Regions from separate parts of the Mus musculus genome. Here region 1 is reported to be linked to region 2. Evidence: microRNA targets listed by miRTarBase, many of them from high-throughput screens and not tested one by one. Region 2 holds a microRNA gene; the other region holds the end of a gene's coding sequence.

Region 1 (6,882 bases), not on the chromosome of region 2:
AATAATTTCTCTCCTAGAAACACTGATAATCTTTTAAAAGTAAACTTATAATTAGACAATGAACATAGATATATAATGTGTTTTAAGTACTTTCTCAGTATGTCAAGTGGTATCATAAGGGCTTTTGAATATATTTGTTAGTGATTCATTTTTAATATTTTATGCTTTTATTATGCTTAATTCCCAAAGAATATTTATTATGTTTGAAAACAATTTAGTATTCAACATTAGATATAGGATCCTCAGTTATGCATACTATTAAATATTCATTAATGATATTTTTAGGGTATGAAGGGATATGAATACAAAATTTGAACAAAATTTTTAAGTATTATTTGATTCTCCAAATACTCATTAATGTTTGATATATAAAATGCATTTAAATAATAAAAAAAAATTTTGAAAAAAAAAAAAAGAAAATGTTTCTATCCTCCCAGAAATTAGCAGTAGCTGTCTTTTCAAAGTTCCATATTTGGGGTATTGGTACAAGTGCCAAGGAAATGCTTCCTCACCAAACTATTTAGTGAAGTTAAGGCACTTCAACTTATAAAATTCATGTGCAAATATGAGGAAAATAATCCTCTCAAAAATGCCTTCCTACTTCTCCCAGAAGCCAAGATTGCCTAATAAAAATCACAGTACCAGGTGTGTGGGACACCTCCCCTCAAGTTATTGATCAGAGTGTGCTATAGACTCCCCCAAAATAGAGGCTTTTGCCGCTGCTGACCAGAACTTAATAAGACCCTATTGCTAGAGATACCACCTAATTTTGTCCTAAGACATGGAGAAATCTATCTGATAGCAGGAAGCTTCCTCCCTGCTGACTAGCGTTCATAGCACCAGATGATGTGGTGTAGGCTGCTGTCGGTGCAGGAGAGGTGTCAACAGTTTTACTTAGAAGTGAACAATAATGAGCAGGTTCGTAAGATAAGCTCAAAGGGTGATGGTAGCATGAATGTTAATGGGCGTAACCAACAACTTTCTGACTGGGGTTAAGTAAGGCCTGCTCCACAGGAGGAAAAGGCTTGCCTGGCACTATATATCTGGCTAAGAACCACAGTTAGGGAACTCACAGGTATCAAGGGTAAACCTATTATTATTCTGTTAAACAGACATCAAGCGTCTCTAAATTCCCATCTCTATACCTACAGCTCTCAGATATCAGCACAAAAGTTTCTTTGTGTAATGGATGGTGACTAAGGCAGAACCTCACCTTCACTGCTCAACCATAAAGAGACATCAGTATCATCACCACCACTACCACCCCTACAAGGCTCAGGAACCATCACAGAAGAGGGAGCAAGAAGATTTTAAGAGCCAGAGATCAGAAGGGACTAGAGTTCCCGAAAGTGCTCTGAAAATGACAGGACCACTGCACTCATAAACTCATGGCATGTGTGGCTGCTTGTACAAAATAAAGCTGGTAAACATCCTAAGACAGGGAGGGGTAGCTTTTAAAGGATGAGCCCCTGGAATGTCAACCATGCTCCAGTGGATGATCCCACCCCCAGGAATATATGGCCAAAAGATGCAAACTTGGGAGGGGTGAGAAGGGAGGGGTGGGTCTGGGAAGAATAATGAGGAAAATATGATCAAAATGTGTTCTATGAATCTCTCAAAAGTGTCTTCCAAGTTATGGATATGCTTGGGTAATGTTCTAGTTTCACTTCCGTTGCTGTGGCAGAGAGCAACTTAAGGGAAAAAGGGGTTTATTTCAGCTAATACTTTGAGACCATAGTCCATCACTGTGAAGAAGTCAGGGCAAGAACATCCTCTATCTGAGCAGAAAGGAATGAATGCATATGTATACTTGCTCACATTCACCCTGATTGCCACTTAGCTCAGGACCTCTAGTTGGCAATGGTGCTGCCCACAGCAGCCTGGGACTTCCTTCCCCCCATAGACACGCCCACAGGCCAACTCAACAGACAGACATTCTTCCTACGTGATATGCTTCTAGGTTGTCAAGTTGATAAAAATGAAAACTAACCATCATATTTGATATCATATGTTTATGGACTGAGACCAATATTTGGTAGAATTTGACTATTAAATAATCAGAATTCAAATTAAAGATATTACCATAAAAATTGTGCTTATTACATCTTGACTTTTATCAATAAAATTACAGCAAGTTGCTTAATCTCATGATGTAAGTATCCCATCATGCTCTTAAGTTTGTCACTTGGCCTGAATGGCCTAAACTATCTACTAAGTGACCTCTGATCTAGAACACTGACTGCCAGCTTCAGAGGCTTGGCAGGGAAATGTAAACTAGCGAAGCCGGCAGTGGTAGTGGTGAGAAGCACAGGGAGGTGGTGAGTGAAAATGCAGGGAGGACAGCAACAGCCCAGGGATGTAGTGAGCTACAGCCCAGCTTTTCTATCTAAAAGCATTTATACACAAGTCGTTTTGAAACAACCCAAGTAATGTACACTGATACTGGCTATGAGGCACAAATGATGTAGTTATCTACTCTAAATAAGGCTGTAAGAACTGTCTCCATGTAGTCATCCTCTAATACATAAACAGTAGGATTATAAGTGAATACTTACATGCCTTTCTAAATGCTGCGGGGCTCCCTCCTCTTTCATGTAGAGTTTGAGTAGAGAACTGATGACTTAAGTGTAGGGCCACCCTAACCTTAACTGAAGATTCCTAGAACATGGATTTTTGATGAATCCAGTAGAAAATGTGAGCTGGGATGTGCATTGATATACAGTGTTTAAATTCTGAGACTCTTCTTGAGTCATGAGCCAAGGCCACCACTCGTGCATTTTGTGATGTATGTGTATTCCAGACTATTATTATTTGCTTAAAGCAAGTCATCTTCTATGTAATGAACTATAGAACTCTTAGGGTATCAATGAGATCATCTATTGACCATCATTTATATCCCACAGGGTTAGACCCTTGCTCTGTAAAACTTCCTTGAGGTCTTTTTGAAATGGGATTACCAAGTCACCTCTGGAGCATGGCTGCTGGAGCCTTGGCACTGGAGTTTAACTCCTGGCTCTAAGGCTTTTAAGTTATTGTACTTAAAATGCAATAACTCTCTGCTCCTGGCAGGTTACTGGACACCTCTATCTGCAAGAACACGGGAGACGGGAACGGGATTGTTTGTAAGGATTAGAAAACACAGGAAGCATGAAGCCCAGTGCCTGGCACAAAAGCCATACAACGGCTATTTCTGTACTAGTGCTAGAGGAGATACTTATGTAGAGGAAAGACTTGCACACTGTCTCTAGGAGGACATCACTGGGAGGGTGAGAAAGAAGTACAGGATTTAGTTTAGAATATGGCCATTTTTCAGTGACATGCTCTTTCTCCATTTCATTTAATCCAACAGAGTAGGTAAAGATTTCTAAGTCAGATGCAAAACAAAGCTTGAGTTTTATTAATTAGTTCATGAATTGTAGGTATATTGATTTCTGTCCACGAGTGCAGCAAAGCCCTAGCCGTGGGCTCATTTTCATCACTTCTTCATCAGATTTACAGATTGAATACAGAAGGGTGAACTACCAATTAGCAAAAACCTAACTAACATAAGGAATACTACATGCTCACTCCATAGTGGATTTAGATTAAGAAGTAACTTGACCTAATTCTAGCTTTTTACTAATTTACATATATATTCTTGGCATATTCAACTTCTTGGTTTTCTCATTTATCAAAGATGAGAAGTGTGACTTCTAGCAAGGAAGGTTGGTCCCACAAGATGCACTGAAATGGATCCCCACCCAATAAAGATGGTATTGTTACATATGACTATTAACACTAACATAACCAGAGATTTGATTCATTTAACTCTTATGTCCATAAAGTTAGCATTTGTTGTGACAGAAATTTGATAGAATATCCTTTAATTTCCTGGAAAAGCCTATGTTCCATACCCAGGGGCCCATGCGACAGACTCACACAGGCTGGGATGCTCATGCTTCTGACCAACACACACCCAAACTACACAAAACCACAAGCACAGTAAAATCCCTTGAAGCTTTGGTGGGTGGAAAACTACATCAGTCTATAATTTATGCAGAGAAATTTCACTTACATGGTACCTTTTCCAGTCTCAACATCTCATCATAAAATGAGCTCACATTAGCAGTGAAAGGTGCCATTGATGTATTAAGTTTTATTAGCTCACATCTTTGAATCTGCCATTAAAGCAGGTTAATGGCCTGCTCTGGTTTATCATTTCTGTGGCTCACAGCTGGGAACCACATTAGGTTTGCCTCACTTTGCATGGCTCAAAACAGTCCCCCAGACTCTTACTGCTGAGGAAGAGCCACATCACAGTTGTGCTTTCTTGACACGGCCTGCTGCTAAGATGAAACATCTCCACTTGTCTGTACCACTATCAATACGACATTAAGGGGAAAAAGAAGTTTTTATAGGGAAAATATAGACTTGGATAATAGCACTGAATGTTATAATCAAAAAGGCATTTGGAAATATGTTCCAGAAAAACACAAGGAGGAGGAGGAAGAAAAAAAAATCCCACAAAAATGTACCATAAAGTCAGGCTTTATTTTTTATAAAATGTGTAAGTCAACTCCAAACATAGGCAAATCATTTATTTCTTTTCTGTCAGATGAGGTTTAATGTTCTTCATCCCTGTCTAAAGAACAGAAGTAAAAAATAAACCTCTTCCATGAATCTATATGCAACACATTTCTCAGCTTGGTCCAGACTGCAATAAACACCTGAGCACAGCAGCAGTGGTGGTGTGCTGTGCAGCTGCGGGGCTGGAACTTTACAAACCTCTATACTTTCAAACCCCTTGGTTTGGCTCCACAATCCAGATCTTATACATGAGAAAATACAGGTTATCTGGGCTGCCAGAAGAGCCCACTGAACGCATCCTGTAGCGCTCTGTGACAAGCAAGAGAAGAAGTATAGCCGCCAGCAAGATCCTGTGGAGATGCAGCCCGGACGTGGTTTAAATACCTGAAAGAAAACAAAAAGTACACCATTGATTTGAAGACCGTAAGCCAGTGACATTCTGCAAAGCAAGTGTAAAACTGATTCTACATTTGGAAAGGAATTCCAAGATTGAAATGTTCAGGTTCACACACACATATATATGGATTGCCCAACTACTACTAAGTTACAAAGGACAATGAATTCTAAGAATAGTCCTTATAACCTGTACATTTGGATGAAATGTTAAAATATCCACTCTTTCACCATTTCCAGTACTGATTCGTTTTTTTGGAAGCTATTTAGACATCCAGCGAATACTGTCCTTTCCAGCACGCACACTATTATGCTACTAACATTTCTACGAAAGCTTTTTTTGTTGTTGTTTTGTTTTGTTTTGTTTCGGTTTTTCCAGACAAGGTTTCTCTGTGTAGCCCTGGCTGTCCTGGAACTCACTCTGTAGACCAGGCTGGCCTGGAACTCAGAAATCCACCTGTCTCTGCCTCCCAAGTGCTGGGATTAAAGGTGTGCACCACCACTGCCCCACTGCCCGGCTTTACAAAAGCATTTTAAAGCAAAACCTTACATACGGAAAACAAGCACACTCAGGAAGAGAGCACACAGTAGTTCACAGTCACCTCGGTATCCCAGAAGCATACTGTCTCTGTCCTTGCAAGGACAGGAACCTTAGAAAGTACACGTCTAAGAAGTGTGGGACAGAGCCTAAGCTGAGAACAATGACCTGAAGAGTCATAGAGTCCTAAGTACAGAAGGACAAACCCATCTCAAAAGGCAGAACAACAATGTTTCTTCAGTCTCAGCTTTTTTACCAATGAAAAATTAATGCCTTCATAAAAATAGATACAACAGGCCTAAAAACTCAGAGGATCTCAGCCGAGGACTGACTTGTCAGCCAGACAGCTGCACTGCAGGAAAGAATAATTCCAGCCTTGCTTTAATGCCTCTGCAGGAAGCCACACGGGCCCTGGAAACAAAGCTCCTTCGCCCACTTTCAGAATTACAGGTACGATAAATGAATAAATCAGGAAGCAGGACATTTTAATAGCTTGGAACCTTTTCTACTTATTCATTCAAACTTCCTGTGTGTCAAGATCTTAATGCATGAGCAACTTCCTATTTCTAACATAATAACAAGTCAGTTTTTTGTTTGTGCATATGTTTTAATAAGCTTGTATGATTAAGACATGTATGGCAACTTAAGGGACCAAATAGAAGACGCTGTCAAAATGAGACAGGTCAAACTCCTGGAATTGGCTATAATTTATTCACACTGCCACAAATCATGGTCTTAACTCAAATCTTTGCTTTTCTGCCAAGGGGTAAAAGTCAAAGGAGAAAGAAATAAATGTTTATTGAGCAAAAATTTAAAACTATTTGGGTAGTATATTTATAGCATACAAGTTATTTGTACATCTACCCTCAAAGCTTATTTATAAATTATAACAAATATTAGTAATGGATACTCTATATCATACTACAGGATCATATGAAATGTATAGAAATGAAAACCTGAAGAGATAAAATGAAGCATGAATCATGCCATGCTACCCGCCTCTGAGGATGCATCCGACTTCAGAAACTGTTAGGTGTCGCTGATGAGCTCCAGGTAGAGCCTTAAGTCTCACAGGAGCTGGACAGGAATGGACTGAATCTACACATAACTACAATGTTATTTTCTTATTACTCTCCCAGAGCACAATAAAATGCCAGCTGTTAGGATTCTGCTGGTTAGGGCAGGGTATGGTAATGCTTGCCTTTAATCTCAGCACTCAAGAGGCAGAGGCAAGCAGATCTCTGAGTTTGAGGCCAGCCTGGTCTACAGAGTGTGTCCAGGACAGCCAGTGCTACACAGACCCTGTCCCCCCCCCAAAAAAAGGGCAAACAAAACAACCCCAAAAGGATTTCTATCAACAAACAAAGCACATGGTGAGCTGCCTC
Region 2 (6,882 bases):
ATGAATAGATAGGATTATTCTTCTTACTAATACAGCAGAATTGTAAGTTATCAAGCCAGACTGTAGATGTGAGCCCCAAGGTCACCTTAGTATAGTAAGTTTGATGCAGGGTGCCAGAGCACCAATGCCGAGCCCATTGTAAAGAACTAGAAGACGAGGGTTACAAGTTCAAATGTTTAGCAGGTCCTTATTTCTACCTGTCTCTCCAAAGTCTCCTGTAGCCCAGGATGACCTTAAACCGGCTATGTAGTCAGAATAACTTTGAAGTTCTGGTCCTTTCCACTCTGCCACCCAAGCGCTGGCACTACAGTTAAGTGCCAGGATGGTTTTTACATGTTAGGGATCACACACCAGGCTCTGTTCATGCTAGAATAGCACTCTATCCCAGGAGCTGATTCTCAGTGCACTGCTTTCATGCCCAGATCCCCTTGAGCTACTGGGGCTTAAGGAGACGAATAAATGTGTGTCCTCTAACTCTTGGGACCACAGCTTACATATGCAACAGTTTCAGAGCTCTGTGAGCCCTATGCTTCACAGTGCAGGACAATGAGGACCAGAGGAGAGAAAAGACATGCACAAGGTCACATGGCTTCCCAGTACAAGCAGGTCAAGACCCAGGTTTCAGGATGTCTGGTACAAAGCTCTTTCTGTGCTGAGGTGGTCAGCTAGAACACAGCCAATATAGCTGTGGTGATTATCATGCCAACAGCAAGGAATGCACTCTCCAGCATGGGCCAAGGGAATGATGGTTAACATTTAACATCATGGAAACAACTTCAAAGACACTGCAGCTGGACTCTAATAATGGGGATGAAAATGCTGAGACGAGCAGAAAGCTGCAGGTGGACATCTTCGGCTGGAAATAGCATATGGCCCCAGAGCAGGAGTTCTCAGAAGCCCGAACTGGTCCTTACCATGGGGTCAGGAGATGGGAACTGTCCCACAGTCTGTGGTTCAATGTGCTCTTAAGCTGTGTACCCCTTACTAATGCCACAGGACACGGATGAATGTCTATGCCTGCCATCTAGGGGAGAGTGTGGCTGCCGTGGACAAGGTGGGGGGAGGAGGGGAGAGATGGCGCTTCCTGGGTGGGCTTCTAGAAAGGCCAAGGATGGCAGGAAGGCAGGGATCAGAGCCTTTCTCATAAAAGCCTAGCAATGACATGCACCAATTAATCAAATATAGGGGTAGGAGTGGGGAGACAGGACAGGGAAACTGAATGCAATACTGACGTACAGTCGCCCCTGTGTTCTGCAAGGTATTGGATCCAGGCCCCACTGAAGATACCAAAATGAGTGCTGTGCAAGACCCTTGTATAACACAGTATAGTATGTGCATGTAGCCTATGCATACGCTCCTGCAACTCACACATCTCCATGGCCTCTAATACCTGATACAACATGAATGGCATGTAAACAGTTGTTAAGCTGTATTACTTAGGAAATAATTCTTACAAGTAAAGTCTTTAAAACTTCTATATAGATGCATTTTTCCTGAATATGTCCACCCTCCCACCCATCCATCCACCCACCCATCCATCCATCCACCCACCTACCCACCCTTTCATCTATCTAGATAGGGTCTTTTTATGTACACTGGCTGTCCTGGTACACCCTATGTAAAACAGGTCATTTTCTTTTGAGACGGGATCTTATGTTGAATCCCAGGCTAGCCTTGAGCTCATGACAGTCCTCTTACCTCAGTCTCCTAGTGCCTGACTGCAGGCATGCACTTGAATGCCCATTTTTTTTAAAAAAAAAAATAAATTAGACTCAGAGATAAGACAGTAGTCTTTAGATACTTGGAATTCTCCAAAGTATAGTGGTACATATGTCTATAACCCTAGTACTCAGAAGGTTGAGGCAGGAGAATTGCTAAAAGCTGGAAGCCAGCCTGGTCTATATGTAGCTCTGTGTCAAAACCAAACTAGTGGAGTGTGGTAAGGCACTCCTGTAATTCTGAAACCTTGGTAGGCTTGTGCAGAAGAACTGCTTCAATTTTAGCCTCAGAATAAGAGAAGGGAGCTCAGAGTTTTTAAGAACGCAAAGCAGTGAAAAGAAGTACGATGCGATATTCACCTCGGGACTGCGGAAGAGGTTCCCAAATGACACCAGCATTATCAGAGTCTTGTGTGGAAAAAGGGATTTTGTATCATGTGATAGCAGTTTCATAAAAGGGCCAGCAGTGGTTGGAGTGAGCTTCTTGCTATTGAACACATGAGAAAATTCCTTATAGGGAAAATGGTGAAACATAATTTAAGTTGAAACTGTTAATGTACTAATCTTAAATAGCAGAACTGTTGAACGTTACCAGAGGAGCCTAGCCTAGCGCGTAGTGCCTTACATGCAGTTTAGCAGATAGATGCTGGGTAGAGAAGGAACTGCAGCCTCTTCTATTCATCTCTTCCTTCCATCTCAGAAACCAATGAAGTACAGCTCTAAGAGCAGCCTTGTGATCATGGCCTCTGCAGCTCTAAGAATGGCAGCTGAGATCCTTGTCAAAGTGTACCTCCCACTGGGGCAAGGAGCTGTGGGGCTTTAAATCAGACATTATTCTAGGGAGCAGAGGATAGCAAATATAAAAGGAAAAACCCTAGCCTTGAAGTACTCAGAGAAGAAGAGACACGGGACCCGCCGTGACTAAGAAGGTGGCACCAAAGTGGTGGCACTTAGGGTGACACATGAAGGAGAAGTGAGTGGCATCTGGCAATGGAAGAGAAGGTGAGGTCTAGGGCACAACAAGGGACATCCTAGGAACTGGTGTGAGCAAAGGCACGGGGTACCAAGCAGGGTCGTGGTAAGAACACAGGCTCCATGTCAGGGAGGGCGGAGAATGGAAGCTGCAGAATCCTCGACGTGAGGGTGGAGGCTGCACAGGATCCCAGGAGGCGCTGGGCCACCTTTCCCAGGGGCTTCTTTGCTCTCTGGGAAGCCCACTAACTGAGGTGAGAACAGAGGCTGCATAGTTGGGGCAGGTGAGTCTGTGACACAGAGTGTGTGCCAAGCAGGTGGGCAGGAGCGCAGAGGGCAGCACGGGGATGCTTGAGAGAGGATTAAACGCATGTCCTCACAGAAGGAGGCTGAGGTCCAACAGCAGCAGACAGATGTGGTGGCTTCTGACAGTGTTTGCATCTGGAATCCCCTCCCCCCATAGTGGCTCAAATCAGTAATGTCTCCTAAAGGGAACCCAGATGGAGATGGTGTGTGAAGAGGATTATCTCCTCCCTGTCTATAATTTATTGGTCCTGAATATCAGGTTAGCAAGCTGAAGCAATTAAACATCAGGCCAGCTGTTTCAGGCAATTAGGTAACATTTTTCATTTAGAAGACCACACAACAGAGAAAAGACTACAGAGATAAGACCTGTGTTTTGATTTGCTAAGTCTCTGCTGCAGATAAAACCCAGCTTTTTGGAACCCTTCAGGCAATTACTATTTCAGGCTTGGCAGGAACTGGAGTCTGAAAGTAACTATTGGGCTTCTCTTGGCAAGGCTCAAAGCCACTGTAGCTGTGTGAATGTCCTAGGCAGTGGTAGAAGGGCAGGAGGAACCCAGGAGCCATAGAGCTATTAGGATGGCTGCTGCAGGCCCCATGGCTCAGAGGCGGCCAAACTGGGTCCTCCCACATGTTCTTAGAGAGGGAGTGTGGTCGGACGGTGGAGGCCCAGCCTACTCATGGGGATTCTGTGGCTGCCTGCCTGGCATGTGCTCTCGGCAATGCTGTGGGCCCTGCTTCCCCTCCCAGCCTTAGCTTCTTTTCTTTCAGAAGAAGGCTGAGGAGAATTCTTCTGCCTGAGGTGGGGGTGAGGGGTGTCAGAGGAAACAGGGGTGACTGGCAAGGTGCCAACTGGTACAGGCTTAGTACAAAAGCGGAGGAGGTAGAGGGTGGTGGAATTTGATGTCATCTCTGCCACTACTGGACAGGGCTACGTTGTTCTAGCCACTTGCCCTGAGTGGGCCTCAGTTTCCACAAAATCAAAGTGTGAGGAGCTGGATTCTTAAGGAGCCTTTGAGTTTTGATATTCTCCTATTCTGAGATGCCAAGAGAGATAAATCAGCAGGCTGAAGGCAAGCAAGCTTTTCTTTGAATGGAAAAGGGGGACAGGCTTTATGCTGCCAGCTGACTTCCCCACAGGATTCTGGGGCTGGCCCGGAGCAGGGAGACGGGGGCAGCTCAAGGAGACAGAGGGCTGCGTGCGGTTGCAGGCTGCCCAGCCTTGGAACCTCTCTTGCCTGAACTCTTCCACTTAATTGGGAGCTTGCCTTCCCAGCTGTGTATTTTTATCCTGGGCCCCAGAACCCAAACCCTGAGGTTTGTAGCCAGAGGCCGCTGCTTGTTTTCTCGTTAACCGCCTCAGCTCTGAGGTGCTTCCCAGGAAGTCATCACCCCGATGCAAGGCCTCTCCAGCAAGCAGGCCTCCAGGGAGGATGCTGAGTGAGAGGCACTGGAATCCAAGAGCTGTCCTCCAGCCTCGGAAATAAATCCCCCACACTGTCTGGCCCACACAAATCCCAGTTCAGCCCGGCCTCTCCTGTGGGGTTATTCTGGTAACAAAATGCTTGAGATCAGCAATTCTTTTCTACTCTTACCCACTCCCAGAGAGGAGCCAACTGGGCTATTCCTTAGGCTCCACTTTCTGTGTCTGAAATGTGGTTGAAAACTAATATTCCAGATGTTTCCTCAGATTTTAAGTTGAACCACAGATTAAGCTTCCTATAGGAAGACGGTCTGGCACAGGCTGGGAGGACAGTAAGTCTTCGAGGCTGGGTGTTTAAGCCACTCCACCCTTTGCCAGCTGCCTCGCCTTCAGAAGGTGCTGTAGAGTTTTTTTTCCAACCCCAGTTTCTTCTAGCAAAATAACAGCCTTTCCCTTTCTACCACACAATAACCACTGTGAGCCCAAGGACTGCTTAGTTCAACACTGTGCAGTCTAACGTTGATGGCTTCCTTAGCTGCTGAACCAGTGAGATCAACAAGACCAGAGACGCCAAGTGTCCAGCATCTTAGGGAAATCCATTTCTTTTCCCCAAGTGGTGGGTTCTCAGTGAAGAAGGAAGTCCTTCCTGTGACTATGGAAGTTACAGAAGGGCCAGCACATGAAAGAAAAGATAGTTAAATTTCTTTCTTCCTCCTTTCCTCCTCCTCTTTCTTTCTTTCTTTCCTTTTTTTTTTTTTTTTGTGTGTGTGTGTGTGTTAAGAACAGAGCCCAAGGACTTCTATGTTAAACCAGCTTTCTACCACTGAGTACATCCCCTGGCCCCAATTATTTATTATTTTATTTTGAGACAAGATCTTACAAAGTTGCTCAGTTGGCCTTGAGCTTGCTTGGTAGCCCAGGCTACAAATTCCAACTTGCAAACTTCCTGCCTCAGTCTCCTGAGTACCTGGGATTACAGGCCCATACTGTTACGTCAAGCTTCAGAGAGCCCCTTGACGGTAGTGTTATCTGCCCATGTCAGTGTTGACTCTGCGGCTGTGGCTAGAGCCTATGCTGGCAGTGGAAAAGGCTGATCATGGACTGATATTACACAGGGTGGCAGGAGCGTCTTCATTAGACCAATGGCTTCCTGGCCTTAGGGTCTTCCAAAGAGACTCACACAACCAGACTCGGGCACGGAACCCGGATTCTCGAAGGCTGCCGACACACTGGGCCATTGTTCTTGGACAGCAGCAACTCAGATCAAACTGGTGAGTGGGATTTTCCTTGCATTGGCTACAATACACATGTTTGTTCAAGAAAAAACAGTTGGAGCAAGAAGGCATGAATGTCTGCTGCGAAAGAAAAGCCGGTTTGTGTCAATTACAGTGGCAGATTATTCAGAGTTCATCCTGAAAGTCCAATTACCCCCCAAAGCATGAGCAAGGTCAGTGTCGCTCTGCAGTGCACCAACCACTCCAGCCACTTAGGCACAGATGTAAACTACACAGATCTGCCTGTTGGGAGAGGAGAGCGGCGGCCCACTAGCTTCCTGGCCAGTCTGTGTGGACACCACCATTCTCCTATTCCTGGGAGGATTTATCTGTCCAAAGAGGATCTCTGCAATGTGCAGATCTGGGACTCATCTTATTGCACTGTATCCACTGTTACTGGTGTGTGTGTGTGTGTGTGTGTGTGTGTGTGTGTGTGTGTGAGAGAGAGAGAGAGAGAGAGAGAGAGAGAGAGAGAGAGAACGAACATGAACAGTGGCCTTCAGAAGGACCCACAGCCCATCCTGATGATGAGTGAGGGTGTAAGCTTCAGGAGCAAAAGATCAAAGATCTGTCCCTGTTTTATTTCGAGCAGCACACCCCAAGCCATAGCCATTAGCAGATGAGATGTGAAATGACCTATTTACCTTATACTTGACTGAACTATGGCTAGGAAGCCCTAGGGATCTGCTTACCTCCACCCCCCAGTGCTGGGATTGTAACCGTGTGCTACTATGCCTTCCCTTTCTAATGTGGGAGCTGGAGATTAGCCTAGGGTCTTTGTGTTAGCAAGGCAAGTGATGCCTGAGCCAGGTTCCCAGTCCCCTTTTAGGGAGATTTAAGAGCAGCATTCCCCCATACCTGCTACTTCTTAAAGCAACACAGAAATTATTATACAATAAGTTTCTCAAAACAGTGAACAGCATGTCCTAATATGGACTTCAAAACAAATATGTAATATTTTCACAAGCCAGACAGCTTCAATAGAGATTCTAAGTTTAGACAGTGAAGGATCCATCCATCAACCACAGCAAGATCTAGTCTTTGAGATATGCTATTGTATAGAATCTCTCTCCTCTGCTAGAGTTAGCTGTTAAATTCCCCAGGACAGAGTCAGTATTTTAATCAGAATCTAATCTCTATGTATAATATCTCAAATATGAGGAAAATTTGTATATTTATAAAATAGGAATAA

Evidence for each region. The annotated mature microRNA mmu-miR-5110 reads GGAGGAGGUAGAGGGUGGUGGAAUU and lies in region 2 at 3,870-3,894, shown strand. An mRNA with a match to its seed (bases 2 to 7 or 8) in the 3' UTR can be bound and repressed. Matches are read on the target gene's strand: a 7mer-m8 pairs with bases 2 to 8, a 7mer-A1 pairs with bases 2 to 7 and ends in A, and an 8mer does both.
Region 1: the mRNA of Mnat1 is a reported target of mmu-miR-5110. Seed matches in the 3' UTR shown: 7mer-m8 at 4,480-4,486 and 7mer-m8 at 4,477-4,483.

What each region holds. Positions count from the first base shown.
Region 1 is chr12:73,270,482-73,277,363 of GRCm38, reverse strand. It overlaps Mnat1 (menage a trois 1), which reads right to left. Exons shown (of 8, transcript NM_008612.2): 8 at 3,376-4,950. The coding sequence ends at 4,830. It also overlaps a transcript of Trmt5 not described here. Among named protein-coding and RNA genes, the nearest start is that of Trmt5, 13 kb to the left of the region's middle.
Region 2 is chr11:85,757,687-85,764,568 of GRCm38, reverse strand. It overlaps Mir5110 (microRNA 5110), which reads left to right and starts at 3,867; the gene lies at 3,867-3,953. The region is part of intron 22 of Bcas3 (breast carcinoma amplified sequence 3); the gene reads right to left.